4 linked regions of the Struthio camelus genome follow. Each later gene encodes a partner of the first gene's protein in a complex. Links are inferred from orthologs where the notes say so. Each region holds a gene or a part of one and is shown on either strand. Other genes may lie near its edges.

Evidence for each region.
Region 2: MED8 (region 1) and MED13L share a complex: the UniProt entries of both Homo sapiens proteins name them as parts of the mediator complex. The link is inferred for Struthio camelus from reciprocal best matches to the Homo sapiens genes MED8 and MED13L.
Region 3: MED8 (region 1) and MED7 share a complex: the UniProt entries of both Homo sapiens proteins name them as parts of the mediator complex. The link is inferred for Struthio camelus from reciprocal best matches to the Homo sapiens genes MED8 and MED7.
Region 4: MED8 (region 1) and CCNC share a complex: the UniProt entries of both Homo sapiens proteins name them as parts of the mediator complex. The link is inferred for Struthio camelus from reciprocal best matches to the Homo sapiens genes MED8 and CCNC.

What each region holds. Positions count from the first base shown.
Region 1 is NC_090949.1:25,439,317-25,447,676, forward strand, and holds the start of MED8 (mediator of RNA polymerase II transcription subunit 8), read right to left. Parts: upstream 3,211-8,360; 5' UTR 3,118-3,210; coding exon 3,112-3,117; intron 1-3,111. Other genes in the region: KICSTOR complex protein SZT2, read left to right, coding at 3,244-3,273, 3,792-3,917, 4,107-4,280, 4,607-4,777, 6,626-6,757. UniProt on the Homo sapiens protein: Component of the Mediator complex, a coactivator involved in the regulated transcription of nearly all RNA polymerase II-dependent genes.
Region 2 is NC_090958.1:5,771,705-5,779,585, forward strand, and holds the start of MED13L (mediator of RNA polymerase II transcription subunit 13-like), read left to right. Parts: upstream 1-4,608; 5' UTR 4,609-4,744; coding exon 4,745-4,816; intron 4,817-5,061; exon of another isoform or gene 5,062-5,079; intron 5,080-7,881. UniProt on the Homo sapiens protein: Component of the Mediator complex, a coactivator involved in the regulated transcription of nearly all RNA polymerase II-dependent genes.
Region 3 is NC_090954.1:11,289,970-11,296,397, reverse strand, and holds MED7 (mediator of RNA polymerase II transcription subunit 7), read right to left. Parts: upstream 2,162-6,428; 5' UTR 2,049-2,161; intron 1,722-2,048; 5' UTR 1,642-1,721; coding exon 949-1,641; 3' UTR 684-948; downstream 1-683. UniProt on the Homo sapiens protein: Component of the Mediator complex, a coactivator involved in the regulated transcription of nearly all RNA polymerase II-dependent genes.
Region 4 is NC_090944.1:54,823,048-54,831,202, forward strand, and holds the start of CCNC (cyclin-C), read right to left. Parts: upstream 3,342-8,155; 5' UTR 3,160-3,341; coding exon 3,128-3,159; exon of another isoform or gene 3,124-3,127; intron 2,342-3,123; coding exon 2,235-2,341; intron 1-2,234. UniProt on the Homo sapiens protein: Component of the Mediator complex, a coactivator involved in regulated gene transcription of nearly all RNA polymerase II-dependent genes.

The sequences.
Region 1 (8,360 bases):
TTCCAAGGACCAGAGGGGTCCATGTGCATGTGTTCATAGCCCTCCTACGCAGGGACCCCTCTTCAAGGGAAGGAAATAGAGACCCTGGAGATAAAAATCCTGTATCGTCACACTGACCTCTTCTTGAGTAAGAGCACTCAGGCAAGAGACTTGTGCATGAGACAAAGCCTCAGCTGCCTGCCCTCATTAAGATCCAGATGAGCACAATGAAGACATTATCACTTGCATTTTCTTTTTACCACCTCAGACAGTGTCATCAGAGTTAGCTCATGCCACTTCTGTGAGCTGTTTAAGCTAGCCCAGCTCAAGGTAATTAGCATTCACTCAACTCCTTCTGCTAGCAAATGTGGATACAGTAATGTCTTCATCCAAAGCAGCCGTGTGCAAAATAAGCATCGGGTCCGTGGCCTAAAGACTCCAGTTTCTACCCTTCATCTCATTCTTTACCTTCTTCCTGCCCAAGTGCCATTTCTAGCTGCTAGAGAAATTAGGAGTTCCCATTTTACTTGTGCCTTACCAGTTGTGGGAGGCACTGCTGTAATAGGGATCATACAGAACCTGGACACACATGCAGGTCACCTCCTGCCTTTTGCCTGAACTGCACTGATTAAATTCCTTTTCCACCAACATCCCTGGGTGAAGTAGGATGGCCACAAGCAAAAAATCAGAGGATAAGGAATCTGTTGCCAAAGATACCGAGACAAAAACCCTCTTGCAAAAACTCTCTAGAATCTTTTCTGTTCTTATATATTCATACAACAGAAGAGTTGCACAAAATACAATTGAAGTTCCAGCCCTAATAAACTGCTAATATAAGTCAAGCGCTGTACAGTAATAATCCACCTGGAGGGTGGGACATTACAATCAAATAATAGAAAGGGAATGCCAATTGGGAAAGCACAGAGGGTGAATCATTCTGTTTGCATGCTTGCTATGGGGTTTGTTTGTTTATGTTGTTCTGTTTAAATGAACTGGACTAGCATGAGCTTCATTGAAGAGATTATCAGGTATCTTCTATATCCATGAGAACATGAGATTTTTCTATTTAATTTATAAACTGGTAAGAAAATAAAAGGTATCTTTAGAAAACACTGACCAGACTTCACTTCACTTAACCACCTTCAAAAAAAAGGCTGAGTCAACTTTGGTAGAATCTGATCCCTAGTCCTCGAAGCAGATTGCTGGGTGTTGCATCTGAAGATTAAAGCACTATAGCTCTCCTCCATCTTGTGATGGAGATGGGCAGTTTCTGTGCAATTAAGAAATGAGTCTACAACTCGTTGTGTGCACTATGCTTGTGCAAGAGAATTAATCAATGACTGTATTACAAGTTGGGCAGGTAGCCAGTGTTTATTGCAGAGGTGCCAGGCATATGCATCTAAGGCAATTCATGCAGCCTATGGCCTGTGCTTATCCAAGAGGCCCTCAAGAAGACGAATGCAACCATATTGCCCACACATTGTTCTCACAGCAGCGCCTCCTCCAAAGCCGTTAAGAGCAGGAAGCAGATGTAATGTGTACAGGCTTCACCAGTGCTTAAGATCAGTACTTCCAAGAAGTTCTGTACCTATTGCAGGCACACAATATATTCAAGCAGTGCTTTAAGGAGTTTGTTATACAATACTAGATTATCCCAAGGTAGCAAAGAGAGGGCTTATAGGAGAGATTGCTGAAGGACCTCCTGATACTGAGTGACTGGGAGGTAAAGGTTAAATTCAGTGTAGGTAAACATAAAGCAATGCACGTGGCAGAACAAACAAAAAAGGAATCTAGCTCCTCATAAACAATGACATTCTCTGAACTGATAACATTGTCACTCAAAAACCAAGATCTTTGGAGTATCCTCCAAAAACAATCAGCCCAAGGCTCAAGAATCAGTCAAGGAAACAAAAACAATAATAGGATTTATTAGAAAAGGAACATAAAACTAAGCATCATTATATCACTGTATAAACATATGCCTCGTTTTCATCGTGACTGTTGTTTGTAACTGTTGTCCCTCTATCTCAGAAAGGATATAGTAGGAGTACGTACAAAGAAAGGCAACAAGGATGATCGAAGACATACGTCAGCTTCTACAGGCATAGCAGTCGAACATAGAAAAGAGACCAGTTTGTGTGAGCGGCAGAAAAGAGAAGGAGAGACAATATAACAAACATCAGTACACGAGGAATTGCATGACAATCCATTTTCACCTTCTTTTCTGGCATGACAATTAGGAAACTTGAATTAAAGCAGGAGGTAGCAGGCTCAAACAAACCAAAGGAGGCAATTCTTCACAGCCTGTTAACCTGCCATTAACCTGTGCAACTCCTTTCCATCGGACATTATGGACGCTAACAATTCCCCAAGGTTCAGTAAGTAACTGGATCCTTCTTCCATGGACGAAAGTTTATCAAAAGCTATTAAATACATGGGACCCTTTAGCAATAGTCTGCACAGAACAGCCCTCAAGCATACTCTGCTCTCACCATTTTTCCCGGGCACCTACTTCTTGGCTAGTGTCAAAAACACGATGGGGGGGGGGGGGGGACACAGACCTTTGGCCTGATCCGGTGCAGCCACTCTCACCAAAGGCTGCACCGGCTGCTGAGAGGGAACAAGAGACTCAGTTATCTATACACATACTCAGTCTACGCGTGTGCAGCAAAAGGAGGTTGCTGCACAGGAAAGCACTGGACAACAGCTCGAGGGCAAGGCCAAGCTCCCAAAGAGGCGCATCACGGCTGGCCTGCGGCGAAGAGCTGCTGCCCGCCCGCCGGGCCGCTCGGCGCGACCCCATCCCTGCAAGCAGCCGAGCAGCGACGCGGCCCGGCAGGTGCCGCCGGGCAGGCGCCTTTGACAGAGGTCGGGGCCAGCGTTGCCGACTCTGCCTGGCTGCTTGCACCTCTCCGGGGCGCAGGGGAGCCGAGGCCCAGCGCGGCCTACACACGCTGCGCTCGGGCCTGCGCAGAGCCGAGGCCCGGGAGCCGCGGGCGGCCGCCGGCCGGCCGGGCCCGAGCAGCCGCAGCCCCGCGCCCCTTCGCCTTCGCCCTCGCCTCGGGCCTGCGGCGCCCTCAGAGCCCCCCCGCTGCCGGCGGCGGCAGCCGGGCCGAGCCCGACGCCCCTCACCTGCATGGCGGCACCGCGGCCGTTGCCACGGGAGAGCTTCGCTTCCGGGTCAGGGCGCGCAGCGCGGGAAGGGCGGGGCGGGCGGAGGGCGGGGTCAGAGGGCGCGGGGCGGGGCGGGGCCTGCGGCCGGACATGGCGGCCTCCGAGCGGGCCGACGCGGAGGTGGGGGCGGGCCGGGACGGAGGGGGGTCAGGCCTGAAGGGGGGGGTAATTGGGGTGTGGGGGGTATCGCCGAGGTGGGGGGGCAACAGGGGTGTTGGGGGGGCAGGGCCGAGGTGGGGGGTAACAGGGGTGTTGGGGGGGGCAGGGCCAAGGTGGGAGGGTAACTGGGATATGGGGGGGAAGAGCCGAGGTGGGGGGTAACGGGTTTTGGGGGGCAGGGCTGAGGTGGGGGGTAACAGGGGATATGGGGGGGGCAGGGCCGTGGTTAGGAGCGATGGGGCTGGCTGGGTCTGTGAGGGAACGTGGGGGCTGGTGCAGGTGGGGGAAAGGCGAGGGGCTGAGGCACGTCTTGGGGTGGATGTGGGGGCAGATGAGCGATGCTGGCAAAGGCCAACTAAGGAGGTGCTGGTGAGGTCTGTGGTGGCCAGCCCCAGCCAGTGCCAGCCTCTTCCCTCTTCTGGGGGGCTGGCTGACTCCTGGGGTGACCAGGGGGCTTGCCATGCTCCCACACGCTGCAGGTGGAGGAAGCAGGGCATGTCTTCCTCCTGATGAAGAAAGACTATCGCATCTCCCGCAACGTGCGCCTTGCTTGGGTCCTCAGCCGACTCCATCAGGTCATCTGGGCTGTGCCTGAGCCGGAGCTGGTGAGTTGGTGCCCTGGGCTGGTTGGTCTTGCCACATCCTGACGTGGCCAGCTGGCTCTGGGCTCTGCGCTACTCATGAGCAGCCAGGCCCTGCAGAAGGTTTTAACCCTATTCTTTATTCTGATTCTTGCTTTGATACATGTGGCTTGTCTTAATGTTCTCTCACTTACCATTCACCTTTTCATGTAGGTGAAGTCGGAAAACGAACTGGATGTTCTCAGCATCTTGCCTAATGGATGGCAGCCAGACGAGCCTGTCCAGCCTAGGCCCTATCTCCTAGTGCCCTCAACACGGGTCACCTTCCTGGCCCGCCAGTACCGCTTTGTGATTGAACTTGACCTGAGCCCTTCCACGGGGATTGTGGTAAGTGCAGAAACTATCTTCTTGGGGTGCCCTTTGTTGAAAGGTTGGACTCGTTTCTCTCTGCTGAGAAGGCTCGTTCCTTTCTATGTCAGTCTTAGCTTTTGCAGAGCACTTGTTTTCCCAGGAGTGAGGCATGAAATGCTCCTAGCTGGTCAGCTTACTGGCAGATCCTGTGTCTCTGCTGGATGCTCCATGTGTGGCCTTTGCTTACCAGCTGCTGTTACAGAAGGATGTTTTTTGTTAGCTTTGTGTGGTGCGGCGGCTGTCAATGAGATTGAAAGTCCTGGCAGATGAAGAAGCTAAGTTTCTTTTCTCTGTTTCTGTAGGATGACTCAACAGGGGAGATAATTTTTGACGAAGTGTTTCACGCTCTTTCCCGATGCTTAGTGGGGTTGTTAAGACCCTTTCGTATCCCTGGTTCGGACATTATTTACCAGCCAGAGATCTTTGTGACCATCCAGGCATATTCCTCCATCATTGGCCTGCAGTCCCATCAGGTAAAATTCAGTCTCTCCCTTGGCGCATCTCAGCACGTGAGCAGCTTGCTTTATTGGTTGCCCGTGAACACAAAGGGAAGTGGGACATGTGTTAGCTGGGCTTTGTTAAAGATATTGTTGTAGACTTGTTTCATTCAAACGTGCAGCCTGGTGCAATGGGGGGAATGCACATGAGCAGCTTTTCTGGGCTGGAAGCAGAGGTTTCTCATGGGGGAGCAGGGCCTAGCAGAGAACGCTGCCTGTAGGCATGTTCTCAGAGATAGATTGTAATTAATATTTCCCTCATGTTATGTCTAATGCTTTTTTTTCCCCTGTTTAAATTGTTTTGCTGACTAATTTCTTTGGCCTGTTGTAATTAACTTGAAACATGCAAGAGGAGGTGGTATGCCCAAAAGCTTGTCTGCCTGCTCCAACTGTGTAGCAGTGATTTATTCAAAGATGATTACCTCTTCCTACAAACCTTGCTCTCTTTTTGTACCAGTGTGAGTATGTTTCTCCTTGCTGGAGAGAGCAGCCTAGCCCCAGTAACCTCACAGTTACTTGAGACAGAGCAGGTTCTGGTTTATAGTGCCAGTAGGGGTTTTTGAAGTTTATTCTTCTTGTATCGGTCCCCTCAACCTCGCAGTAGTTTCACATCATTTTCCCGTTTCTGATGGTGTGTTTCATGCCATTGGTCATACCACAGAAATTGTGTGGTAACCAGATGATGCTGTTCAACATAGACCTGTTCCCTCCCTCTCCCTTCCTTGGTCCACCTCTTCCCAAGCCTTCTGTGCAGGCTGCAAGCTTTAATGGTCTGTACAGTGCTTGAAGAGCGTGGCCCTCACCTTGGTCAGTTTTTAGGTGCTATGAAAGTATGCTTAGCAGGAATTTCCCTATTTGCCATGATATTTTGTGTGTAATCTTGTCCAGGTGTCCTTCAGACATCACCATGCTTTGCCTCAGTATTTCCCCTACTTACACTGAATTGAGTACTGCAAAGTTGGTAATTTCTTATTCTTTGGATCTGTTCTAAAATCTTATTTCTTGTGTGAGGCCAGTAACTGTCATCTCTGGACATAACTGAAAAAGCTGTGTGTTCCTTTTGTGGAGGAAAAGGCACATATGTGTGTAACTCATCCAAGAAAGCCTATATCTGTTGTAATTGTTTATTTTTCCCATGTCACTATGTGCTCACCTTAGGGTGAGGGGATGGCATGATAACAAGGAGCGTCCTTGCCTTCTGTTGAACGCTTTGTCTGCACATTGCATCCCGTTTGCCTCCGTGTTCTGTGATACCTGGGTCTGGGCAGAGATAGTCTGCACGATGCCCGAGCGTCCTGCCTATCAGCTTGGGGAGTTTCTGTGTTGACAGTGTCCCTCTGTCACATCACTTAGCCTCTTCTGTAACATCCGATTAAATTTTTTATTGTCTTTATTTCAACGAACTGTTCCTTTTTCCATCCACTTACTGGAAGATAATTGGATCAGTCTATAGGTGAGTTAGATTAAAAAAAAACAGGCCTTCTTTGGAAATGTCACATCAGAGTTAAAGGCTTTTAACAAGGATTCCACACTGCTTTCTCCTGACCACTGCAAGAAGAAGGCAAAAGAAGTAGAAAGCTCTTGCTTATGAACGAGATTCCAAGAGAATGCTGTAGGCATCTGCTGCAGAGTGTGCTGCAGATGCCACGAAACGTCCCTGCATGCATGCATTTGGCCTCACGCAGGAAGAGGCCTGTGCGTTACCTGTACTTTGTCAGGGAGATGCCCGACAGCCCCGGTGAGAACTGCGTTCCCGTGTGCTGTTAAGGGGGCCGGTACTCTGACCCCCTAACTTAATGGTTGCCTTGTGTATCCCTGGGCCAGGTACTATTCCAGGGCTGTCAGCTGGATGAGACGAAGCAAGAGGCCTTTCTGCACCAAGTGTACGCGCAGCTATGCGCTTTTGAGAACAAAGTGGCCAAGATGCTCCAGCAGCAGTATGAACCTAAACCACAGGTGAGGAGGGCAGAGGTCATTGGGGATTTTTTGGCTCACTGGAGATCTGCGCTCTGAGGCCCCTCTGTGGTGGGCTGACAACGAGAGGAACAGTAGTGCAGGTCTGGAGAAGGAACGACTAAGGAGTTTGTAAGAGAACTTTGTGGGATCTAGTCATGAAAAATGAACTCTGAGGAAAGCAGAAGCAGTAAGCGTTTAGGAGAAGGACTGACATGAACATTTCCCTTGTCCGAGATTATTATATAGTAAAGCAACCTGACTCCTTTGATGTCATGGGACAGACTCTATGATTTCTTTCTAGGACTGCTTTCTATCTGAAGAAGATGGTGGGAAAGGTGATTAGAATTGTATCATTAATCTATAAATAGCTGTGAATATTCTGTTGGCCCTTGTTACAATCTTGAATGAAAATACTTCCTTGTTACCATAAAAACTGACCATGAAGCTGAATAAACAGCCTGTAGAGTTTCAAATACTCCTTAAAATCTGTGGTAGATGTTTTTATTAGTCAAGGATATAGGTATCAGTAAGTTATTAATAGCAGTATAAAATACAGCTTGAGGTGAAAAGTAAAGCAAGACTTCATAGGGATTCAGGCTGTCTGTAGATGTCTCATCAAGATCATCCCCCGATCTTGGAAACAAGGAATGAAAAAATTGGATTGTGATACTGCACTGCTCACGTAAATGAACAATATCTATGGCCACTCTTCTTGTAGTCAAGACATTGCTGGCCTGGTTGAGGTTATTTAGTCCTTTAGTATTAGCTTGTAGAATTTGGGCTCAAGGCAGGAAAAAAAAAAGTCTCAAAATCACGTGGACAAGAGACTAGCGATGACCTCTGGCACTTGCATATCCAGAGTGGTGTAAATCTCATCTTCTAGCTGAAAAATATTTATACCTCTGAATATTAAGTCTATCCATCAGTCCCGGAAGAGCAAGCGACTTGCAGGAAGGAAATATCTTTTCCAGTGTGCCCAGCTGGTGTTTTTGCAGTGCTTTGTATGCATTCCTGCTTGCTGCAGTTAGTTCTCTCATATTCAGCTACCCTGCAACTTCTTCTATGCAAATGGAGGAAAGGGACGCACTACCAGGCCAGAGGGACTGGCAAATCCTGCCATAGGATAGGGTGGAGGTGGGAGGCCCTACGGGAAGGGCAGAGACTGAAACTTTTTTTACTTTTGAAGTTGCCTCGGCTGTATCGTTGTCAACAGGTGCCTGAATTTAAGGCATCCAGCAAATTACAATGATCACGGTCAGGTTTTTGCTCACAGCCATCGGCTCTTCCCATTTGTGCAGAACAAAAATGTAGTTTGTTCTAATCTTTTTTTTTTCCCCAGCTCAGATCATCGAGCTTTGCAGGGGACGGTTTCTTACCCGTTCTCTGAATTAGAAGTAAAAATGGATTGATAGCTTATTACAGGGTGAAACTGCCAGAGCCTTCTGGACACGAGGGGCCTGTGATCTCTGTAGGTTCCTCACATGTGTAATTATACAAATGTCATGCTTTGCCTGGGGGACGTTTTTCATAGAAGGCACAGGAGAGGCCTACCTGCATTTGCTTATATCAGCATTGCATGGGTAGTGCTGTTTGCATGGAGTTA
Region 2 (7,881 bases), on another chromosome or scaffold:
TACATTAATAAAGATAAATTTAAAAAACAAAATTTGATTAGGGAAATACAAGATCATTTTTCTCCTATAAATTTAATTGCCCTACTCTTTGAAGTAATTTGTAGTCATTTTACCTTTGTAAAACCTGGATGTTAAAAATGAGTCAAAGTTCTCTGAAACTTGGAAAAGGATATGAAGAAATAAATTGAGATGTAGAATTAGACAGAAGCAGCAGTACAGCCACCACTGTTGTATTTCACCTAGCTCTTGAACATATTTTCATAAAAAAGCGTGGGCATTGCCCTTGCCGACAATAATTTTTTTTGGAAATAACAATTGTAGGCGGGGGACATTCTTATAACTCAGGCTTCTAAGCCTTTCTTTTAGCTGGAAATGAGCTATCCCTGACCCGAAAAGTCAAACGCTGCTGCTTTTGACGCTTACCAAAGTTGGCTGGACTGCAGTTCGACTGCTGGTGTTGGAAGGACCAAACTGCGCGACCGGAGGTGGGAGAGCCCTGCCTGGATGTAGTGCTCAGGCCAGTTGTATTCCTCAAGTAAATATTCCTGTTGCAAGTTTGTGAAAATACTGCAAAGTTGACGTGCTTTAAGGCAAAATAAAACCATGCAATTACTTGTCATTTTAGCTTTGCTTTAGCCTCCTGACAACTTTATTTCTTCCTCCATGTTTAGTTTGAAGCATAAGCAACACCTGCTGGTACAAACAACGTCTATGAAACTGCTGAGCCATCCTCCTGGGAGAACAGGTTGGATCATTACTGTAAGCTCTGGACAAAATAATCTTGTGTATCAGTGTTGGGACTCTAATGTTGGAAGGGGTCTCTAAGGGCGAGTAACTGGCTTCTTCCCAGGGTGCTCATCACGTCTCTATGGCGAAGACCAAGTGTGATACAGCTGGTTTCCAGGAGCCTGGAAACTCCTTGCCACTTCTGAGTTTTGGTCTTGCAGCTAGCAGGTTAATATGTTGGCAGAGCTACTTGCAAAAGTTTGTATATCTTGCTATTTTAGAAAAATGGGTGTTTGGTTAAAGCAAAAAATCCAATGTTATTGTTCATGTTCATTGATCAATTTTTAAAGAGCAGCAAAAGAAAACAGGGAATAAAACTCGAATAGCCTGAGTTGGGAAACACGTTCCACCACATACCATGTAGGACAATTATGCATGAGCAAGTGTCACTTGTACTTGAATACGATATCTGTTAAGTGGAACGATTTCTGTTTTAAGTAACGCTATTGTCAGAATACAGCGAGGGAACTTTCCTAGATTGGTACGGTGAAGTGAATGATCAGACTGTAATGATTTCCTGCACCTATAACTAAAACATAGTATAAAATCAAGTAACTGGCAAACCATCTGAAGAGCTGCTAGCTTTTTTTTTTTTTTTTTTTCAGTTTAAAACCAAATTGAGCTTTGCAATGCAAAGACCTGGTCACAATCTTCTAACCAATAGCCATTCAGAAATGCTAGCAGCAACTCTGTAACTTCAAAATATTCACCCAATAAAGGTAGCTTTATCACACGGAAATATTTTTAGTGTAAGAGTTGGTAAGTTTTGTTAAGAATCCTGAAAAACGGCCAAGGCAGCAATAACGTGAGTATATTAACGTTTCTCCCTGTGAAGACGGATCTGAATCATATGTTAGGCCCCAGCGTGTGGTTGTCTTAAGATCATGAGAAAATCAGGTGTAATTAATAATCTCTACCCGGAAGATCCGGAAGAGGAATTCTGACACCTGCATATACCGTTTGGAGAGAGAGAGAGCAGCACATGGCAGAAACATGAACCCCCTCCTCTGCCGTGTCCCATTCTAAGCGGTATTATTAGCTTTCTCTGGGGCAAGTAATCATGTGATACTCAGTTTAAAAGTATTTCTCAAATAAGAAAATGCTACTTATTTCATGATGAGGGATGTCCTTTTACTCCAGAAATAGGATACTTTTTATAAGGCGTTTGTTGCACCCTAGGTATTATTTGGTGACAGGACGGATAACTGATGCTGCGGTGTATTTACAAAGAACTATATTGTTTTAATATGAAAAGCTGTCGTTTTTAGACTTTGTTGGTTACTGTGTGTTACTTGACGCGTTTACAAGTGCCAGACTGTGTCCTGTGTTTATGAGACCTGGAGCCAAGAGAAAGTGGAGTAAGATGGTCCTGAGTTCTCCTGATTCTGGATTGCTTAACGATCCCGAAGGAAACGTGCGTTCGTGTAGAGAACCGTGATGGCCGGGCCAAACTACAGCGAGCAATTTCCAGGTTATGGCAGTTTGTCTCCTTAGCTTTGCCCCTTACCAGTTTGGGGCTTTCACAACGTTTCTGTGCCACCTGATGTTCCTAGGTGACTGAAGGAGGATAAAAGTCCCCCCCTCGGGTGACTCCAGGGTTTGTTTGGCCACCTAATTAGTGTTTTTTTCTTTCTGAAAAAAGCAATTGTGACAAAATGTGGTATTCAAATAATTTGTTGGAAAACACTTTTCCTCCCACTAATATAGGCCCAGTGTTTGCAAGGCAGAATTTCTGCGGGGTGCAGCAACGAAGTGAAGGCGACGAAGTCGGCCGGCCTCGCCCGAGGAGGAGCACGCGCCCGCAGAGCCCCGGTCGCGGCGGGAACCTTCCGCCGGCCCAAAGCCTGTCGCTCCGCGCACGTAACGCAGCTAAGCGGCTGTGACGCCTGTTTGTGTTAGAGGTCTGTCGCTGTGAGGTAAGTCCGGACAAACTCCATCCCGTCATTACAACAGATGCTAATCTTTTTAATTTATTGCAAAGAAAAGTAAGTTGCCAAAAAGATGCCTAAATAAGATAAAATATCGCAAGGAAAGCTGCTCTCTAAGCATGGCGAGAAAAATTTTTCCACTGAATCAAGTGACTGAAAACGTGTTACGAATCTGTATTAAAGTGAATTGCTAAACAAACCATCTTTCCAACGGTGCTATTTGCACTGCATGGCCCGTGACGCGGTCCGGTTGCGGGTGAGAAGTCGAGACACGCGAGCTGTGATCTGCGTGAGCAAACCGGGCTCCTGCTGGTGAGCATCAAAGGGTCGTTATGGACGTTAATTAAAAAAATCAGTTGTTACGAATTGTGTGTTAAACGAAACTTTCAGTTATTTGTGATTTGCTAGTTGTGTCGTGCCTAACCTTTCTTCTTCCCCAGAAGGCGTTATTTCAGTTAATTATTTCATTTGTTTCTGCCACCCTTGCAGAATGAACCGCACACGATGCCTGTATTCGGGCTGAACAAGGGCGCGGAGCTGCTCCGCTTTCTTGGGGGACTCGCGCGCCGCGGTTCGGCTTGGAGGGTCGGGCCGGGCTTTTAGGAGGGGACCTGCCCGGGGGCCGCCCCGGCCACCTGCCAGCCCTCCAGCTCCTGTCTTAAAACTCCTCTGAGCATTCCCCGGCCCCCTGCGGCGCAAGGACCCGGCGGGAGCCGCACGGCCGAGGCACCGCGGGGTTGGGGGGGGGCGCGGCCCGGACCCCCCCCCGCCCCCCCCCACGGCCGCTCAGGGCAGGCGCCGCGCGGGGACGCCGCGAGGTTCGCGGGGTCGCGAGGCGTCGAGGGCGGCGGCGGCGGCGGCGCCCGCCCCCTCCCCCCTCCCCCCGCACCGGCGGCGGCGCCGCGCTCGCGCTCCCGCTCCCGCTCGCGCTCGCGCTCCCGCGCGCCCCCAGCGGCCCGGCGGGCGCCGCGGCGGGGTGAGGGAGGGGCCGCGGGAGGGAGCCCCAGCGCCGGGCCCCCGCCCTCCGGCGCGCGTCACGTGGGGCGGCGGCGGCCAATGGCGAGGCGCGCTGCGCCTGGCGGCCGCCATTGCTGTCAGAGTGGCGAGAGGCAGAGGCGAGTGTGTGAGGAGGAGCTGGTGAGCGGGGCCGCTGGGCGGGCAGCGCCAGGCGGAGGGTGGCGAAGACGGGCAGGGACAGTGCTCCCTCTCCGGGCCGCGGCTGCCGCCCGCCGCCCGCAGCGCCGGGGGCCCCGCACGGAGCGTAAACAAGGCGGCGGCGGCGGCAACAGCAGCAGCAGGAGGAGGAGGAGGAGGAGGAGGAAAACACCATCCACCCGCAGCCAGCGGCGGCAGCAGCGAGGGGCGGCCGGGCGGGGAGGGAGGGAGGGGACACGGCCTCCGCCGGCCCGCGAGACAGCGCCCCCCCCGCGGCCGCCGCCGCCGCCCGGGGCCCGCGACCCTCCCCCGCCGCCCGCCCGCCCGCCCGGCCCGTGCGCGGTAGGGGCCGCCGCCGCGGGGGGGCCGCCGCCCTCGCCCCCCCTTCACCGCAACGTGCGCCCTGAGCGGGGGGGGGCCCGACCTGGACACGGAAGCGGGGCCCCGGGCGCCCCCCCCCTTCTCCTCCTCCTCCTCCGCCCGGCGGTGCCGCGGCGGCCTGGAGCAGCGCAGGAGGCGTCGCCCCGCGCGGCGCCGAGCGGCCGGGAGCGGAGCGGCCGCGTAGCCGGCCCGCGGGGGCCCCTGCCGGGCCGCGCCGCCCGCCCCGAGCACCGTTTGGCGGGGGCCGGCTGAGGAGGAGCGCGGCCGCCGCCGCCTCGGCGCCCGCCCGCCCGCCGCCGGGGCGCCGTCCGCCCCCCCCCCCCCCCCCGCCCGCCCGGCGCCCCCTGCCGGCCGCGGCCGGGGGCAGGACAGCGGCTGCCGGCCCGGCGACCGCAGGAGCGGGCTGCGTCGCGGAGTGGCCGGTGCTTCTCCCTGCCTGCCGGGCCCGTCTCCTCAGACATGCCCCGCTCTGGCGGCCGGGCTCGCCGAGGATCATGACTGCAGCGGCGAACTGGGTGGCGAACGGGGCCAGCCTGGAGGACTGTCACTCCAACCTCTTCTCGCTGGTGAGTGCCTGCGTGAGCCCCCGCAGGGGTGGGCGGCGCGGCAAGTTTGCCGGCTGGGTGCAGCTGCCGGGGGCTTTATAGTCGGGGCCCGTGGGGCTGCTCCTGCGCTGGCCCCTCCCCCGGCTCGGCGCCCCGTGTTTATTTTGCTCTTTAACGTGGCTTGCCGCGAGTGTGCGTGTGTTCCTCGCACAGCTGCGTTCGCCGGGCTGCGGGAGTGCCTGCGTGTCTGCGTGTGTGCCCGGCATGTGCGACCATCTTCTCTGGTAAACAGTCTTTTCTCCCCGCCTCCCTTGGCACTCCGTGCCCTGGTGCTTTGTGCCTACCAAACTGTGGGTTTTTTTTTTTTCCTCCCCTCTTCTTCTTTCATAATGGCAAACGCCATTTCAGCAGCAGCGAACAGTTTGCGTAGCGTGACTGCCTCTCGGACTTACCTCTGGGCTCTCCTGACTAGATGCCAGCTGTTTTGACCCTTCTTTGAACAGGTTGTGGTTGGGGACAAGAGATTTAAAAAAAAAAAAAAGAAGCTTTTAATTTTTTGTTTTCAGAAGAAAAACGGTAGCTGAAAATGTAGTATGCTGGATAGCTTGATGATCTAGGTGCTGTCATCCCCTCTGGTTGGTAACTGACAACTTGTACTTGCATTGCATGGTATAATTTTACAAAAATCGTGGTATCAGTTGTGACTAGCTACAGGGTCTGTATGAATTTAAAACAAGAAAACCATTAGTTTTTGTATAAAGGCAATGTCACTTGGAAATGTCTTGCTTTATTTTACCGGCCACCTGCAGCAACCTTATCCCTTCAGAGCGGACAACAGATCAGCGAGTGACAAGACTGTTAGATCACCAACAGTCTTCTAGTGCTGCTAGGGCCAATGTCTAGGGGAAGGAGGGATTTTTTTAATGCGTGTTATAGTATAGTTAAAACAAAAACTTGCAGTGTAAGTTTGGGGATAAATGTATGAAAGATTTGTGGTGGATAAAACCCTTTGCCCTCCCCAGTGCTCTGTAAGAATTGAAGGTAGATACATATATTTGATTTTTTTTTTCAAAAGAAAGGAAATGACTGTTATTGCATTTATAAGAATTAAGGAAAAAAGAAAGTGAATTGAAAATGCAGATGATCAGTCTTTTTGCTGTGTGATGGCCTATCATTCTTCTGCCTCTGTTTTCTTTAATTTGTATGTGTGTGTTTTTTATGTGGCTTGTATCTGTTAAGTATCTGGGACAAGGGCCGTAGTCTATGCCTGTGTGTTCTGCTAGGAAGCTGGCCTGGAGATTCTTCTGTGAGAATAAATAAAATTCTTATTTTGGCTTTTTATTGAACAGTTAGACATTATTTAGGCTCATATTTACGTTTCTGTTTGTGATAGTGTTTTCTGATATTTAGAAGTATATAAGAATGCTGCAGGAATTGTAATGGTGATTTTTTTTGAATACACTGGTCTTACACACTAAGAAAAATAAAATGATAAGCATGAGGGAGATGGTTGTATCTGATTGCAAGAGCAAGATAATGGATAGTTACTCTTTCACAAAAAAAATCAAATTGTGCAATCCCTATTAATTCATGGAAAATTGATTAGCATGTTTTCGAGAAGCATAACTTTTCATGTAGTTGCAATCCACAAATCTGTCACTGGTGAAATAATGTTGGTGCTCAATTAGCATAAATTATAACATTAAGTTATTTCATGGTTATTGTGGTTGCATCTATCTATTCTGTTTTATTTCACCGTACTAGGCTGAGGAAACATTGAAAATTTTTAAATGCACCTGTAATATTGGTGAAATAAATTTTGCAGAGTTCTTTTGAAAGTGTTTTAGTAATAGGTCTAATCTGCAACCCTAAATCTCCCATGTAATTTTGTGGGAACTAACCATACCTGTGAAGTGGTGCTATGTACGAAACTATAATAGTTTTATTCTTTTCTGGCTCTACTTGCAAAAAATAACTGATGAAATAATATTTTTATATAAGCACGTATATACAAACACAGTAATTATTAGGGTGATTTATTTCCAATAGCATTAGTATTCATTAGGCCATATTTATCAATGAAAGTCTCACCGTATTGAGAAAGGAAATACTGATTGGAAATATCTGGTCAGAAGCATTGACCCTTTAACCTCAAATTGTCATACTTGTCTCAAAACTTACCATGTGTTAAAGCTACGGTAGTCTGGATTACTAATTAAAGACGCTCTTGCTGATTACTTACTTTTTCAATGCAACAGAACAAAAACATGCACAAACTAATCAACTGTTAACGGGGAATCGTCCGTTCTTTAGGAACGAGGTGGATTGCAAAGCTGTATTTAAACTGATTCTGCTATTAGAATTGAATGTTAAATTTTTATCTCAGGCGTTGTTTTGGGTTTGAGTCAAAAAGTAATGTTCTTGACTGCAGAATTATGCTTCTGAAACAGTTATAATCTGCTGTGACTCTCCTTGTCTATTTTTAAATAATGTTTTTTCCCCACAAACATTCGGCTTGTTTAAGAAGGAGCAGTATCCTCAAAGCGCAGAGAATCCAGAGCTCTGTTGTGGTGTCTGTGATTGGTTGCTGTAGGGGATTTGAGTTTGTTTAGCACATCATAAATTGATGATTTCAGCTTATTTATTCCATCAGTTGTAGACGGTCTGTAGAGAGATGATAGCTAGACACCACTGTTTCTTCTGCATCTTCTTGTGTGAAATATTTTCTAAAAATACATAGCTTTCTAGTAACTAATCTCCTCTATCAGTGAGGTCAAGAATGTATGGTGGTTCTTTAGCTTAAACTGTTTTATTTGAGGGGAAGGCGTTGCCAAAGGTTAACGTTTTAGTTAGCTTTCAGTAGGCAGATGCTGAATGTGATCTCGGCCTTAAATAGTTACAGTTTCATGAAACGTCACCCTGGTGGGTGATCTGAAGGGCTGTCGTCTGTCTTGTGTATTGTTTTATAATGAGGCAGGAATCCAGTGCCATTTTAGAAAATGTGTTAACGTTTGTGTGCTCTGTCAAGCGCAAAACCTACACAAAGAAATCTAGAGCTTTGCTCTACTTGTGAAGCGTTTCTTAGT
Region 3 (6,428 bases), on another chromosome or scaffold:
TTTGCCTGTCTATTTAGATAAATATACCCGATTTATCAGATAAGATAGAGGCACGGCTTACAAAACCATGGTGAAAAAGCAGAGTTCGTGCAAGTTCCCTCACCCCTGAAGTTTACTGCAGTTTTTTAGCTGCTGTACACAGAGTTTGGAAAACATATATACTACAATATTGCACACCAAAAAGAAAGATTTAAGATTTCCCTGACAGGATGGGCAGGTTAAGGAGACCACTTCCTCATTTCAAACTACAAAAGAGGACGTATATGTGGGCATTTTTGTAATCTCACGCTTGGTTATAACTTACATCTAAGAAAATTAAAATCTAATTATTTTTAACCCATTTCATTCCCAAAATTCCTGACAGCGTAAGCCTCTCTCACTCCCTCTTTCCATAGGAGATTGTGACACGCTACATCCCTAGTGAAGTAATTTTAGGTCCTTTTGTACAATTACATTTGCATAAAGTTAGATGAAGGGATTTGGCAGACTTGACACTGACTTTACTTTTAATATTGAAATATGTATTTTAGAAAAGATCCACTGAAAGTGTAAGCAACTAAAGCCTCTTTGAAATGGAAAAACCATCAACTGCAATTCCTCTGTCTGATCCCTTACTTGCTTCCACACTTCACGGCAAGTAACAAACAGAATATACCCAAAAAAGCAGCAAGTGACAAATTACATCAAAGTACACCAAAAAAAGGCTTTTAATCTGTTGCTTCCACTTCACATGATGCTTTTAACAACTATACATTTTGGTTCTTATGAATAAACACACAGATTACATAACATATTGAACATTTCCATCTGCTTAGTCTTTCATAATCCTTCCCATCACGCATAAAATCAATGCTTTGTTTGCTTGTACAACAGTAAATTAAAGTGTAACATATAGCCTTAGAATCCATTCTGCCCCTTGCTATGATGAGCTAATAAACAGTGTTTTCTTCATGTCATTTCATCAATAATGCTACACATCGCTGCATCTTTGTCTAAAACCTGATCTCTCTTGCAACCTGAACGTTCCCTCTGTTTTTCACTCTGTCCAACACAGTTGTTGCCATCATCAGTATCCATGGGTTCTGCTTTCACTCTCAATCCTCCCTCCGAGTGAGGCAGATCATCAGGCAGGGAGGCCAGGCAGTTCTGAATCATCTCTACAACTCGCTCTAAATGCTTCTGAAATCGCTCTGCTGTTTCCAAACGCTGACGTTTCTGCACCTCCATCATGACCCTCAGTGTCTCCCTAGCTTGGTGAGGACGATACTCGTTTATAAGATGATGGACGTGAACAAAAAGCAGTTTTAAGTCTTCCAGTTTCTCTTCTCGCTTTATGCTTCCTGGACTCCTTATCAAGATATCCAGCAGGTCCAAGAAGTTGACCAGGATAGACATATTAAGCTTCCTTAACTCCTTCTTGTGATCAAACTGCACAGGATGCAATCGCTCAATACCTTGGCTTTCCAAGGGTCGAATAATTAGATCGTCACACTGAAACTGATTACCAAACATCATGTAACTGTCTTTCACAGGTGGAGGTGGCTTTGGGGCCAGACCTTTACGGATGTTTTCATCTGTATATTCTTTTATATATTGCATTGGTGGCGGAGGAAGAGCACTCACTTGCTGAGGTTCGCCCATTTTGCTAGACGAAAACACCTCGGGAACGCCCCAAGAAACACACGCTTAACGACCTGCACGGCAGACGGACACCAGAAACGCTGTAAAAGAGACGGCTGTGAGAAAAGCACCGGAGGAAGAGGCCCCTCGGAGGCGGAAGGCCCGGCAGCTCCCGGACACCACCCGTTAGCTCGCCCCCACGACACGCTCCCAGGCCGGAGACCCTCGGGGGGCCGCGCCAACGAGCCCCCGGCGGAGCCGAGCGCCTGCCCGGGGCCGGCCGCGCGGGGCAGGGATATCCGAGGAGGGCCGACAGGCCGCCGCTGAGGCCAGGGGAGCGGCGAGCGGCCTGGCGCGCTACGGCAGGGCCGGGCCCGGCCCACGGCTGCCGGGGGCGGGCAGCGCCCGCAGGAGACATCCGCGCTCACCTAACCGCCGTCGCCGCCGTCGCTCCCCTCAACGCCGCCGCCACCGCCTCCGGCACCCGCTTCCGGCGCGCTGCCCCCTCCCCTTCCCTCGTTAGGCTCGTCCCGCTCGCTGCGCCGCGCTCTGATTGGTCTTCCCACACGCCTGTCAGGAGCTTGCCCCACTCAGCGCGCTGGCTCCTTCGGGAGGCGGGGCCAGCGGCTACGCGGCGGAGGCGGGGCGGCCGGTGGCTGAGGGGGAGGGGGTGTGTCGTGGCGGGGCTCTGCGGTCGCCGCCCGCTCAGGCCCTGTGTAGCCGCTGCCGTGCCCGGGGCAGCGCCGTGCGCGGGCCCACGCGGAGCGCACGTCCCCAACGGTCCCGCAGCAGACGCCGCCCCTGGGGCGCTGTGGGGCCGAGGCGGTGAGGCCTGCCCCGAGGCGGGCGGCGGCCTGGCCTCCTCGGGCCCCCGAGCCCCCTCTGGAGGCGTCGCCGTGGCCGAGGGTAGCGTTCGGGGACAGGCGTTTGGTGGTGATCCTCATTCCCCTGCGGCTGAGAAACATCCTGGCGTAGGGATCCGCAAATATGATTACCCACGGAGTTGGGCAGCGCTCGTGTACTGTTTAATGCTGCCGCGCATTGGGACCGTGGGCGTTGGTCGTGAAATCCAGGGGGCACCTTGCAAAATGCTTTTATCTGCGTCGCTCCTGTAGCTGGATACGCTAAACCTCAGCGCATACAGACTCTAATGAACGCCGGGGCTCTGTCGTTGTCCTGTAGCTTCGTTTTTGTTTTAGGCCGAGCTGAAGATAGCGGTGTGGGTTTAAGCGTTCCACGTTGCGGAGCGTGGGTGGCTGGGTTTGCTGGCATCGCTTCGGCGGGCATCCCTGCCCGAAATGGCCACACGGGAGGATTTTTGACACTTAAGCCGTTTAGGTCCTATGTTGTCTCTTCCTCAGCAGAGGGCAGCAATAAGCTTTGTCTGGCAGGGACCCGTGGTGTACCTGTGCAGTACCGTTTACAGATTGACTTTGTGAAACCATCATTTTGCAAAGAAATTCTTTTGATTGAAAGGTAATTACCGTGGATCCTGTTAATTATTTGTAAACTAATGCGTAAAACTCCACAATAATTGAGTTTGTTTGACTAGAAAACCTGACAAATATTTACAGCTCACATTTTGCTCGCTAAATATTCCAGATGACACAACCCTTTATATTTGAGGCAGGACTGACAATGAATGCAACCCCAACTGCAAAATAAACTGACCTATTTTCGTTTGTAAGCAGGGTATATTTTGGGGAGGAAAGTAAGCTGACATTTGTTCTCAGGTGACTGAGTGACAAGCACAATAAAACAACATATTTGGTCACACAGCAAAGGAGGATGGCATTCAGTGAACTTGCTGAAGATGTCTGCCGTTGTGAAGTTTGATGGCCTTATTCTTTGGTGGTGCTGTACTTACCATGGTAATGTTATGTTATGTTGCTTAGGTTCTTATCTGATCATTACTTAGTTAAAGGTTTGTCCTGCTAACTCTTTTCTCTTTATTCACAGATTGGTGTCATCAATGTAATTATAGCTTCGTATTTATCCATATATACATATCCACTAACAGCTTGTGGCAGCAAGCTGTTAGTTTGTCTCAAACCACCTTGTGACATCATGCCCTGAAAGACAGAAAAGGGATAAAATGCACCGCCTCCAGCGGTACGTGAGAAAACCCATCAGGAGGTACTAACGCACCTTTGGTTTTATTGGACTTTCCAGACTGATTTCACATTCTTGTATATATATATATATATCCTATATCATGTTTTAAAGAATAGGCTCAAGGATTTATTTTCGTTGCATAGCTAGACCACAATTTATGCATGTTGTCCAAAGGAGGTTATCCTTGCCATTTGGCAATGACTTACAACTTTGATTTAGGGAAAACTGGTGGTAAATTGATTTGGGCACAATCTCTATTCTTAGAGTCTTTAGACTGCTAGATGATGCCAACATAAGTGATATTTTCACATTCTCTGCCTTGATACTAATAGTTCTACTTAAAAAGTGAGACAAAGGTCCTTACATTGAGGATTGTGTGGTGCCTGAAGATGTGAATTAATCTAGTGTTCTTTTCAGAAACACATCCATAATGAGTCTGAAATGTCACAAGCACTGAATAGTGTAAGTGCTGAATGGATTGTTCAGTCTCAGGAGATTGCGTACAGAAAGCTTTTATTCTTTGCAAATAAATATCTTAATGGGAAGCCATGTAGGCAACAACGCAGAAGAAACAGGACAGGATAAGGTGGTTTGGCTGTCCTGTTTTTTATTTTCAGCATTTCCTCACCACCACGCTATCTAGGGTAGCCATCCCTCTGACATGTAGGAGAGTTCAAGATAAATATTGTATACTTAAATTTTTTCGACAATCAAGATTTTAAAAATAAACAAATTAATAAAGAGGATTAAAAAGCTGCCACCAGTTCCCATTCTCCTGCCACAGTTACGGAACCCAGGGTCTCCACAGGTTGAAGGAGTGCTTCATCTTAGGCATGGAACTGGGACTCTGGTAGTCTGCCCTGCCACAGATTTGTTGTATGACACGGACCAGTCATTCACACTCTCCAGATTAAACCACAAGGTCTTAGGGGTCGGCAGGAAGATTTAAGAGACCTTTAGTCTTCATTTATATTCAGTCAGAATACTAGTGCTAATTCACTTCTTTCACTAGCTAGAGATACTGTCAGTTTAGAATCTAAACAGTTTGGAGTAGAAAATCCTGTACTATCAGCCAGGGGGATCCTAGATGGCTTATAATTTTTTCTACATGGTAGAGGTTTCTAAACACTACTTCAATACATACAAATAATCATTTTCAAGAAGGGAAAGTACTCCAGGGTGGAGATGCAGATCTTACAAATGCACATAAATATGGAACTGAGAATATGGCTTTCAGACACAGAGCAAGGGTGTGGTTCCTCACACCCTTGTGTGGGACCCTTGCGTATTAGCTACAACTGAGCTAATAAACAGTTTGCTGCTTTTGAAAGGGGAGGTCTCATTCCCTCACCTTCCTCCCCTACTCTTTCTTCCTGCCCTGACTCTCCTTTCCTCTCTCACTGCTCCTTCAGCCCCCCCACTTCTGGCGATGCAATTCTTTCTTCTCACCACTTTGTGCCAGTCCTGGCATTTATTCAAACTCTATAGAAAACATGACTATCATTTTTCTGGATTAGGTTTTCCACTCTTCTAGTGCAGAGTCAATTCACTGTGCGATCCAGTGAACATCAGTGTTGGCTTTTAAGTAAGTGATGAGACCACAAGGGTAGAAGCAGAAACGGCAGAGGTAGGGGAGATGATGACAGGAATGGCTCTCCTTTCTGTGGCAGCAAGCTGTTAGTTTGTCTCAAACCACCTTGTGACATCATACCGTGAAAGACAGAAAAGGGATAAAATGCACCGCCTCCAGTGGTACATGAGAAAACCCATCAGGAGGTACTAACGCACCTTTGGTTTTATTGGACTTTCCAGACTGATTTCACATTCTTGTAATAAAAGCTGAGCTTGATGCTCTACTGCCTGGTATTGTGAACTGTGCAGCAAAGCTGTAAAGTAGTTCAAAAAGTAGGAGACAGTGGGCAAGCAAGCACTTGTTTTTCACACGATGTCTGTGATCTTCTTGAGTCATTTTCCCAGTCTGTATGTAGTGGCCAAAACATAGCAGATAAAATGTCAACTAATGAAGGAAGAAAAAAGGGTTTCAGTCTCATTCTTAGTAGCAAGATGGCTGATTCGCAGAAGGCACATGGACGACCCTTTCCAACATATGGGGAACTGCTAACATTTCTTTCTACAATGATTCCAAATGAAAAATGAAGAAGGATGGTGGGTGCTGTCATGCATAGCATTCTACAATATGCTTTCTGCCATGTTTCAGCTCTTTTCTGAAATGTGCATGCTCTACGGTGTCCAGTACAAGCTCACAACTGATACTGCAACTATCTCCAGAATACAGAATTGCTGTAGCATCTCCAAACTGTAGGAATGAACCTGGAAACCCCTCCAGCAGGTACGGAATCAGTACAGTGACACTAGCTGCCTCAAAGACCTAAGATCTTTTTTTTTTTTGCATTAGTTAAATTGATTCAGTTATTCTTCATAACTAATTTTAGGCACATTGGTGTGTTTCATTAGCAGGCATTTCTGCTCTTTGTTAATTCAGCAACTATGTGTACAGTACGTGCCATCAGAGTGTGTTAAGTTATCTTACCAGAATTCTGAAGCCAAGTATTGTACAAGAACAGAAAATGCATAATACATAATACATACCGCACCTTCATGCCCTGTCTTAGAAGAGCTCTGCTCTTTTTTGTATATGAACATATTTCTTCCATTTGGATTTCTACTGCAGT
Region 4 (8,155 bases), on another chromosome or scaffold:
TTTCTCAGTGCATCTTGGGAGGTTTGAAAGGATTTTTCCCTTTGATATCACCATGGGACAACAAAGCTGTCTTACTGCTAAGGCATCAGAAAAATCCAAGTATTAAGCCAAACAGAATTCTCCAAATAGGCTTCTCACTCCCATGGGATTTTCAGGAACGATAAGGCCATCTGCTGTCAGAAAGAAATCAAGTGAGTTTATGGAAAAAAATTGACAAGGGGCCTAGAGAGACTTAATGAAATGGAAGCTTGTACATGCTGAGCAAAAATTCCAATACTTGTAATTAATTTTTGAAGTATTTTAAAAGAAACTGTTGTATTATTTATGCCCTTATATTTACAAAATAAAGGGTTTCAGATTTTTTTTTAAAAAACGTTGCTTTAAATTCAAATGTTTTTTGAGTAGCCTGTAACACAAACATTACGACTCCTGCACTCAGTCAAAAAGGGAAATCAATTAATTGGCTTTTCAGCCAAAACCTCTATTAAAAACTCTGTGATCCAAACAGAAAAGTCAGCATGAATTTCCTCCTTTGAACTATTTCAGAAGATGACAATTTTCCTTCTCTACAGTTTTAACAGTTCAAGTAGTCGTATATAGTCATACAACCAGTCGGTGACCTACAGCAACCATTTTCAAATGCGGACAAAGCAGGAAGCTGCTTTTCTCCAGGTAATTTCCTGGTTGCTTTGGGGAGAGACTGTCTCCTGGAGGCAGACGCAGGTTGAACGTGGCAAGCCACGGTCATAGCTAATGCAGGGGTGGGAGAAAAGAGGGAAAAAAGCTCTTTACGTTCAAAGCCGAGTGCTGAATTTGGGGGCAGGTGGCGAGATATAACACATATTGAGGGCTCGAGCAAAGCAAGCACTGCATGAGCTCCCACTGCTACACAGGAGCTCCAGGCTGTCCCCTCCGTGAAGGTGCCTCTCTCTGCCACAGAAGGGTTGACAGCCCAGTGCCACTCTCTCCTCCAGGGTATGCTGTGTTGGTCCACGCACAAGGGAGATGCTCGCAGAGCTATGCTCCAGCTGCCACGGGCCATGCAATGTACCCTCAGGAGAGGCAAGGAGTGCCAGAGGAAAAGGAGCTTGTCAACCACAAAGTGAAACCGACTCGTCTACTTTCTAAACCTTTGTTTACTCAATAAAAATACTGAAATGAAACATGAAAAATGGCAAAAGGTATTTTATGTTTCATAATTCAAATTAATACTAGTGAAAATTAACATAGAAATATCATTTAAGAACTGTCACTATCCCATTTATTCTTTTGGCATTATGAAGCTAAGATACCTTGTTTTATCCTCAATAAACTTCAGAAATCAATCAAATAGATAAATCATTGGTTGCTTGATTTTCTGGTGCTGTACAAGTGAACACAGACCTAAAAACAGTGATCAGATTTGCATCATACTTGATCATTACAAAAAAAGCTAAGCTAAGAGAGAGGCTGGGATAAGTATTTTTCAGTTATAATCCATCACCAACATAAGATCTTTCAATAGCCTTGGGAAAGCCACTTAACTTTTCTGCCTCAAGTATGTTTGACCAATCTGATTTCCGCCAATAAAGCTATTCATATGGTCAAATGGTTTCTAGGACCTAGTCTCAGATAACTGCGCAGAGACAAGCCCGAAACTCTCTAGGAGAACAGGCTGCTGACAGCTCTCAGTCTTGTAGAAAGTATCCAGCCACTTGAGAGCCACTGAGTGCTGGGGAACCAGTCATGAGGCCACAGGCTGTGGAGCGGGTTTCAAAGAGCGTAACTGAACACAACTGACAAGTTTGCAAGCTATTTAGCAAGACTCCATGGACCAGCTAAAACACTATGACTTAAGAGCTCATCAAAAAAGCTCAAGGCCCACAGTTTGAGTACTACTGCTTAACACAGTGTCTCCAATTTGCTACTTCAGTAGTTTCTGTTGGCTTCCTCTCCTTTTATTTTTTTCATAAGAGCCTCTTGGAAATAAAAAAATCTACTATTTGTCCTCTCATAAATTAGAAAAAAAAGACATACGCAGCTAATTCATCTATAAATTATCCTAAAGATGCATTAATACAACTAATCTGAATGACAACGCTATTGATATTCCAGCCCTTCATTAAAATATGTTAGGAAAACATATGTAATACAACAATGAAAACATTGCATTCTCTAAGCAGTTAAAACTTGCACGAAGACACGGCAAATACTATATAGATTACATGGCTGAACTAAAAATAAAACAGTTTTACCATTAGTAAAAAATATCTGTAGTTTCCAATATTCTTCTTCAGTAAGAAATTTCAAGTCTTTTTGGCGTTCCTTCAATAGATCTTGTTTATCCAAAATCCATTGTAAACTAAAGAGAGAGAAAATAATTTTAGCAACTCTTTATGAACATCATATTAAGCATCGCCTGTACAAACGACAACAGACTACAGCTTAGGCCTAAAGGGCACGCGGCCTTTAAACAAACCGTGTACGTTCTTCCCAAGCAAATACTCACTAGCTTTTCCCAAGGTAGATATCCAAAAAAAAAAAAAAAAAAACACTAGCAGGGACCAAGAAGATCACTCCTTACCCGCAGCAAACTAAACCGCAACACAGTGAACGGCATTAAGACGTGCGCTACCAATCACTTGTGAATTTTAAGCTATATTTAGTGCACCTCGGGCATCCATTCAAAACTCAACCTACCCAGCACAAGGCACCTTGCCACAGCGCAACCCTGGCCGCCCTAGCGCTGCAGACAGACACCGGCCCGCAAGACCTCGGCGCTCCTCGCTCGCAGCAGCGGGGGCCGCGCACTGGGCACCAGGCCCACGCGGACACAAACGCTGCTTCTGCGGGGCACGGGTGGCCTCCTCCGCGCCCCGAAGAGGCCCCAGATACGGCAAAAGGCCCTCCCGAGCCATTTAAACGGCCCTATTTCTACTGATTGCTATGGCCATTACCCTCCTTAAATTATTCACCGCTATTATACTAGCCCTCTCGGCAGCGATACACCCCGGTTTGCGTGGGCGCTCAGCACCGCCCGGCCCCGCACTCCCCTACGCCCCGGCCCCGGCCCCGGCCGCGGCGAACAAAGCCGGCCCGGCGCAGCCGCCCGCCCGGCCCGCAGCCCCCCAGCGGCCCGGTTACCCACTAGTGCGAGCTCTGCCAGAAGTTCCCGGCCATGAGGAGGAGGAGGAGAGCGGAGGCGCCCCGGGCCCGCGATCCCGCCGGCCCCGCCGCGCCGCGCCGCCTCCCCCGCGCCGGCAGCAGGAAGGAGGCGGCCGCCGCCGCCGCCGCCGCCGCCGCCGACCGGCAACACGCGGCGCAGGGAAGCCGTTCCCCTGCACGCAGGTTCCGCCCGGCCGCGGCAGGGCCCCGGGCGCCAGCGGCGTTGGCCTTGGCGGCGGCCCGGCGCCCTGCCTGCCCCCCGGCCCGCCTCGGGGGAGGGGGCCGCCGCCGCCCGCCCTGCCCCGCCGCTGCCCCTCGCCCGCGCCGCCTCCTCCCGGCGGCGCCGAGCCCTGGTTGCTGACGGGCGGCGGCGGGATTTGGGGCCTGTGAGGAGCCACCGTCGTGACCTTCATTGCCAAAATGCACTTATTCACCGTTTGGTTGCATGTGTCATCTTCTGCGCTGTCACGAAACTACCAAGCCGGGGGTGGGGGGAGGAGGGGAGAGTCTTCACCAGATGGCAAGGCCCAAACGTTCGTCCTCGCCATCACCCCTAAGGACCCTTCCCAGCCAAGCAAAGCCCCGACCAAGGTGCTCTTTCCTCAGGTTTTCCCCCTTCTTCCTCCCCACATGGAGAGGCTGCAGACAGCGGGAAGGCGCCCCGCGCCCCGCGCGCGTTGCTGGAAGGCGACCCCAAGGCGAGGAGGCGCCCCGCGCCACCGGGGCTCGGCCCGGCCGGCGGCCCCTGGCCCAGGCTTCGTCTCCGCCGACCGGCCCAAGTCGCCGAGGCTCTTGGCCCCGCCGATTCCCCCAAGAATGAAGAAAACCTACCGAGGCAAAAAGCGTCCGTTGTAAAGAAACTCCCGGTTTCATTCTCTGGTGTTTTAGAACTTGATTATTCGTCTTTTAACGGCAGGACTTCTATTACAAGGGAGCCTGCTCCCCAACCAATCCTTGATGCAAATCACCGCTTATGGCACTCTGAAGACTTGCAGTGTGGGGAGCAATTCTCCAGAGACAATACGTCCATTATAATTGATTTTACAGTTACACGTAGTTGCATTCTGGTGGCTTAGCCTTGAAAAGTGAGCCTCTGAAATAGCATTGCGCTAGCCTGTATTTATTGTTTCTTAATAACTTACCTCTCCTGTGCCAGATTCACAGTTGCACAAAAGTTTCTGTTGCTGCTCTAGCAATAAAAAATACCATACAGTTTGCCTAAATGGGGAGGGAATAATAGTCAGGTAAGGTTTGAATCTACAGCGCGCTGGCTAATTCCATGCTAACTCGCTCTGCGGAGACTCTTAAAAGGCTGTTGGTCAATGGCCAGTTTATACAGAATACATTCCAGATTCAGTATTGCAAACACTTACATCTTCAGGATGGCACAAGCAACGACGTTGTTAGTAAAATTCAGAGGTACCGTTTATACAAAGAAAGAATGCTATTTCTGTGGAAAGCAGAGGAGCACAGCCATTATGTAACACTGGAGAGCGCCAAAATGGATACTCAGAGGTACCTATTTACGTGATGTGTGAAACAGAACAATGCGAGTTTCTTTGCGTTTCCTACACCATCCTTGACAAAATTCTCCATCTTTATTTTGACATATAGTTCAACGCTGCTAATGACTAGATATGGAGTCTCTGTTTTGAAATTCAGTAGAATCACCGCACCTTGCTTTCAAAAACGGCTTAGTGGAACCAAAATGCATTCTGTCACAATTAAATACTTAGCAAGCATCCCTTGATATGGCGTGGTTGCCTCACGGCACATTCTGGACGCGAAAGATTTACTTTGCCTAAAAAGGGTTTACCCTGCATACCTTAGTTTGTGATGCTCTAACTTCCCCAGATAGACAAGTCACTGAAAGGGTGGCAGTAGCTCTTTGAAATTCTTCCTTTTAAAAAAAACGCTTTCCTGCATGGTGTTCTTGTGGTGTCTGGATTCTGTACTAGTCTGCTCCCAATTTCTCGTGTGTCTAGAGATGGACATTATAAAGGTTGGTCCAGACAGTGCCGGCAGTGCATTACTGGCCCTTGTTTCTGTTCGCACAAGCTCAGAGGGTATGCTGAAAAGGACAGCACGTGCTGGAATAACCCTGAACCTTCTTTAATTTATTTTAAAGGCTAAGCAAACTCTTGTGTGACAGCAGGGTATGATCATAAAAGACAGCTTGTTACCATTTGACTGCTTCTGTCCTAAAAATGGGAAAACTGAAAGAACAGAACCCTCACCTACTCAGTTTAAGCATGGTGGGTTTTCCAGTTTTAGAAACTAGCTAGTTTTGCACATAAGCTTCTTTCTGTGCATAACTACAGTCCGTGGTCAGGCACTTGAAAGAAGTCCTGTGCTTTAGAGGACTGAGCCCTCTCTCATAAGACAGTGTTTCTTGAATTGGCTTGGTGCTACAGATCCTATTTGACAGTAACTGATAAGTAATAGCTGCACTTTGAAATAGCAGGTTAAATAAAACTGCTTTATGGATGATAAGTAAATAACTAAAGCCACTTATTTCTCTTGTGTTGTCCCCACTGCACTTAAATTTCCCTTTATCTTACCCATTCCCAGAGTTGCAGGACTCTGCTTGCTCTGTGCTGGGGAGCAGCTATGCAGGCAAACGTCTGAAGTCGTTTAGGGAGAATCTGGGCCTAAATCCTTTGCTTCCTTTTCATGTTCTTTATTGTGATGATACATGAAACAGGGCTCCCCACTTTTAAATGGGATCTGAGATGTCCTCTGCTGTATACAGTTGGGAAGACAGCATCAAACCAGGAGTTGTAGATCCCTGTACCTACATAACAGCACAAAGAGGGTGGAGGATAAGGTCCGAGAGAGAGGGAGGGCGGATGCCTCTCCGTTTCTTCAAGCAGTACTACCACTAGGGGAAGTATACCTGATTTTTGCAGTGAGACCAGTGAAAAAACTGCCTATTTATAACGGCTGAAGGGAACGTAGCTGAATACCAGTAGAATCAGCAGAAGCACACAGCCACCTAGGGACCCAGAATAAGGTTGCTGTGACTCATGCTGTTACAGTCCAAGTATCTATATTTCTATCACACTTTTCCTAAAAGCTAGCTCAAAATTTCTGTGTGTGTTTGGGGGCGGGGAGGCGGGAAGAACATAAGGAAAGAGGTCATTAACACTTGGGTTGTGACAAGTTTCAGACATTTTTAGAGTAGTGACATAGCACAAGGCAAGGTGGTAGGACGCTGTGAATACAGGAGTGCTATACGTTGACTCACAGACTGAGGCATGTGAAAAGGAGAGCTTGAAACTTGGTCAGCGACAGCAGTCGAGGGTCTATAGGTAAACAAAAGGGTTAGCCAATGCTGGCATGCTGTGTGGAAAAGCTGCTGGAGGACTACCAAGATATTTTATAGTTTACTGGTAGCTTTGATGTTAAATTGCTGTTAGTTTATAATGAATTTATAAATCAAGTCCGAGGAATTAAATCTCTCGGACACCTCACCATCTGCACAGATCAATGAGGTTGTACAGCAGTTAACCAGTCCTGTACACAAATTCAAGATTACCTGGCAATAACGGTCGCAGGGTTGATTTTCATACTGCTTATGCCAATTCAGTACAGGGGCAATTCCATTAACTTCAGTGACTGTGTGGTCCCGGTGTAAACTGGGGCAACGTGAGCTCCCTCTTCCTCTGTGTGTCAGCCGTGCCAAGGTCCGAAGCACGCAGGAGGGTCGACAGCCATGGGCCGGACCCCATAGCGCTCGCCGCCTGGGACTATGCCCCGGCCCCGGAAGGGTTAAGTAAGTCACTCCTGAATGCCTTGCCCACTTCCATACCCTCCACTGCAAAATCAACATCTAACTTAGTTATCCCTGATGGAGACTCTTACAAGGCAGAATCTAGATCCAGCATTTTGGAGGTTATTTCCTTTCCCTCCTAATATAGAGGCATATATGTATGCATACACTCTTATACATAGATGAGCAAGCATATGTATTTATTCATCCTGCAAGCCTAATTGTCAGGGCTGAATGTGGGTCGGAAAAAGGCTGCCGAGCCACTAGACAGAAAGACAGCTGGCAGCTGGCAACCCTCCCGGGAGAGCTGCTGCCTCATGGCCTTCCCATTCCCCCGGGAGCCGCAGCCGGTGGCTCAGGCCAATTCCTGCACCCACAAAAGTTAGCAGAGTTTCTGTCGCTGGTCACAGTGGGAGCAAGAAGCGCTCCTACAGGGCACTGCCTTGGCAAGGTGAAGTAACTCCTGGCTTATCCTGTGAGGAAGACTGTGCTCGGTGCTCATGGTTGTCAAGACCTGCGAGCACATGCAGACTATTTTTGCTTGGTCTGACAAAACCAATTTGTTCTAAGATGTAAGCATGCCTTGGCTGTCTGCAAGCAGTGTACTGTGTGAAGAGCAGGCCACTTGCTCCCTAGGGGTCCTCCTCAGAGTGGGCAAACTCTCTCCGGCTCCGTCCACCACTTCAGACATCTCCCTCAGCTGCATCTGTCTGAACTGAGAGGCTGTTTTCAGAGCCACAAGTAAAGATCTCTGCAAGGCAGCCAACAAAGCCATCACCAATAATGAAGGAAAAGGCTCCATTCAGCAGAATTTAGCGTAGGAATTGTGAACGTATTCAATGAGCAAATCATTGAAAGTATAACAACTGTAGTTCCTTTCTAGGCATCTCTTGGTATATGTGCATATATATGTGCATATATATGTGTGTGTGTATGTGTGTGTGTCTCTCTCTTTCTCTCTCTATATATGGCATTGTGCTAGGCAAAGGTGTGCCTAGAGGGATGTAAGTATATAAGTGTGTATATCCGTATGTACACACATATATAGGCATACATACATGTGTAGGGGGACCTGAATGCTATCTTGATGCTGTCATGAAAGAGATGCTCTGTGAATCTCTCTCTCTCTCTGTCCCTGCAGCATACAGGAAATCATTTGTCTGGGCAATGCCAAGGGACTGGCAGCAGCTGGGGACTGGCAGCAGTAAAGCAGGAATTTCCGAGTAGCAGGAGCAGTGA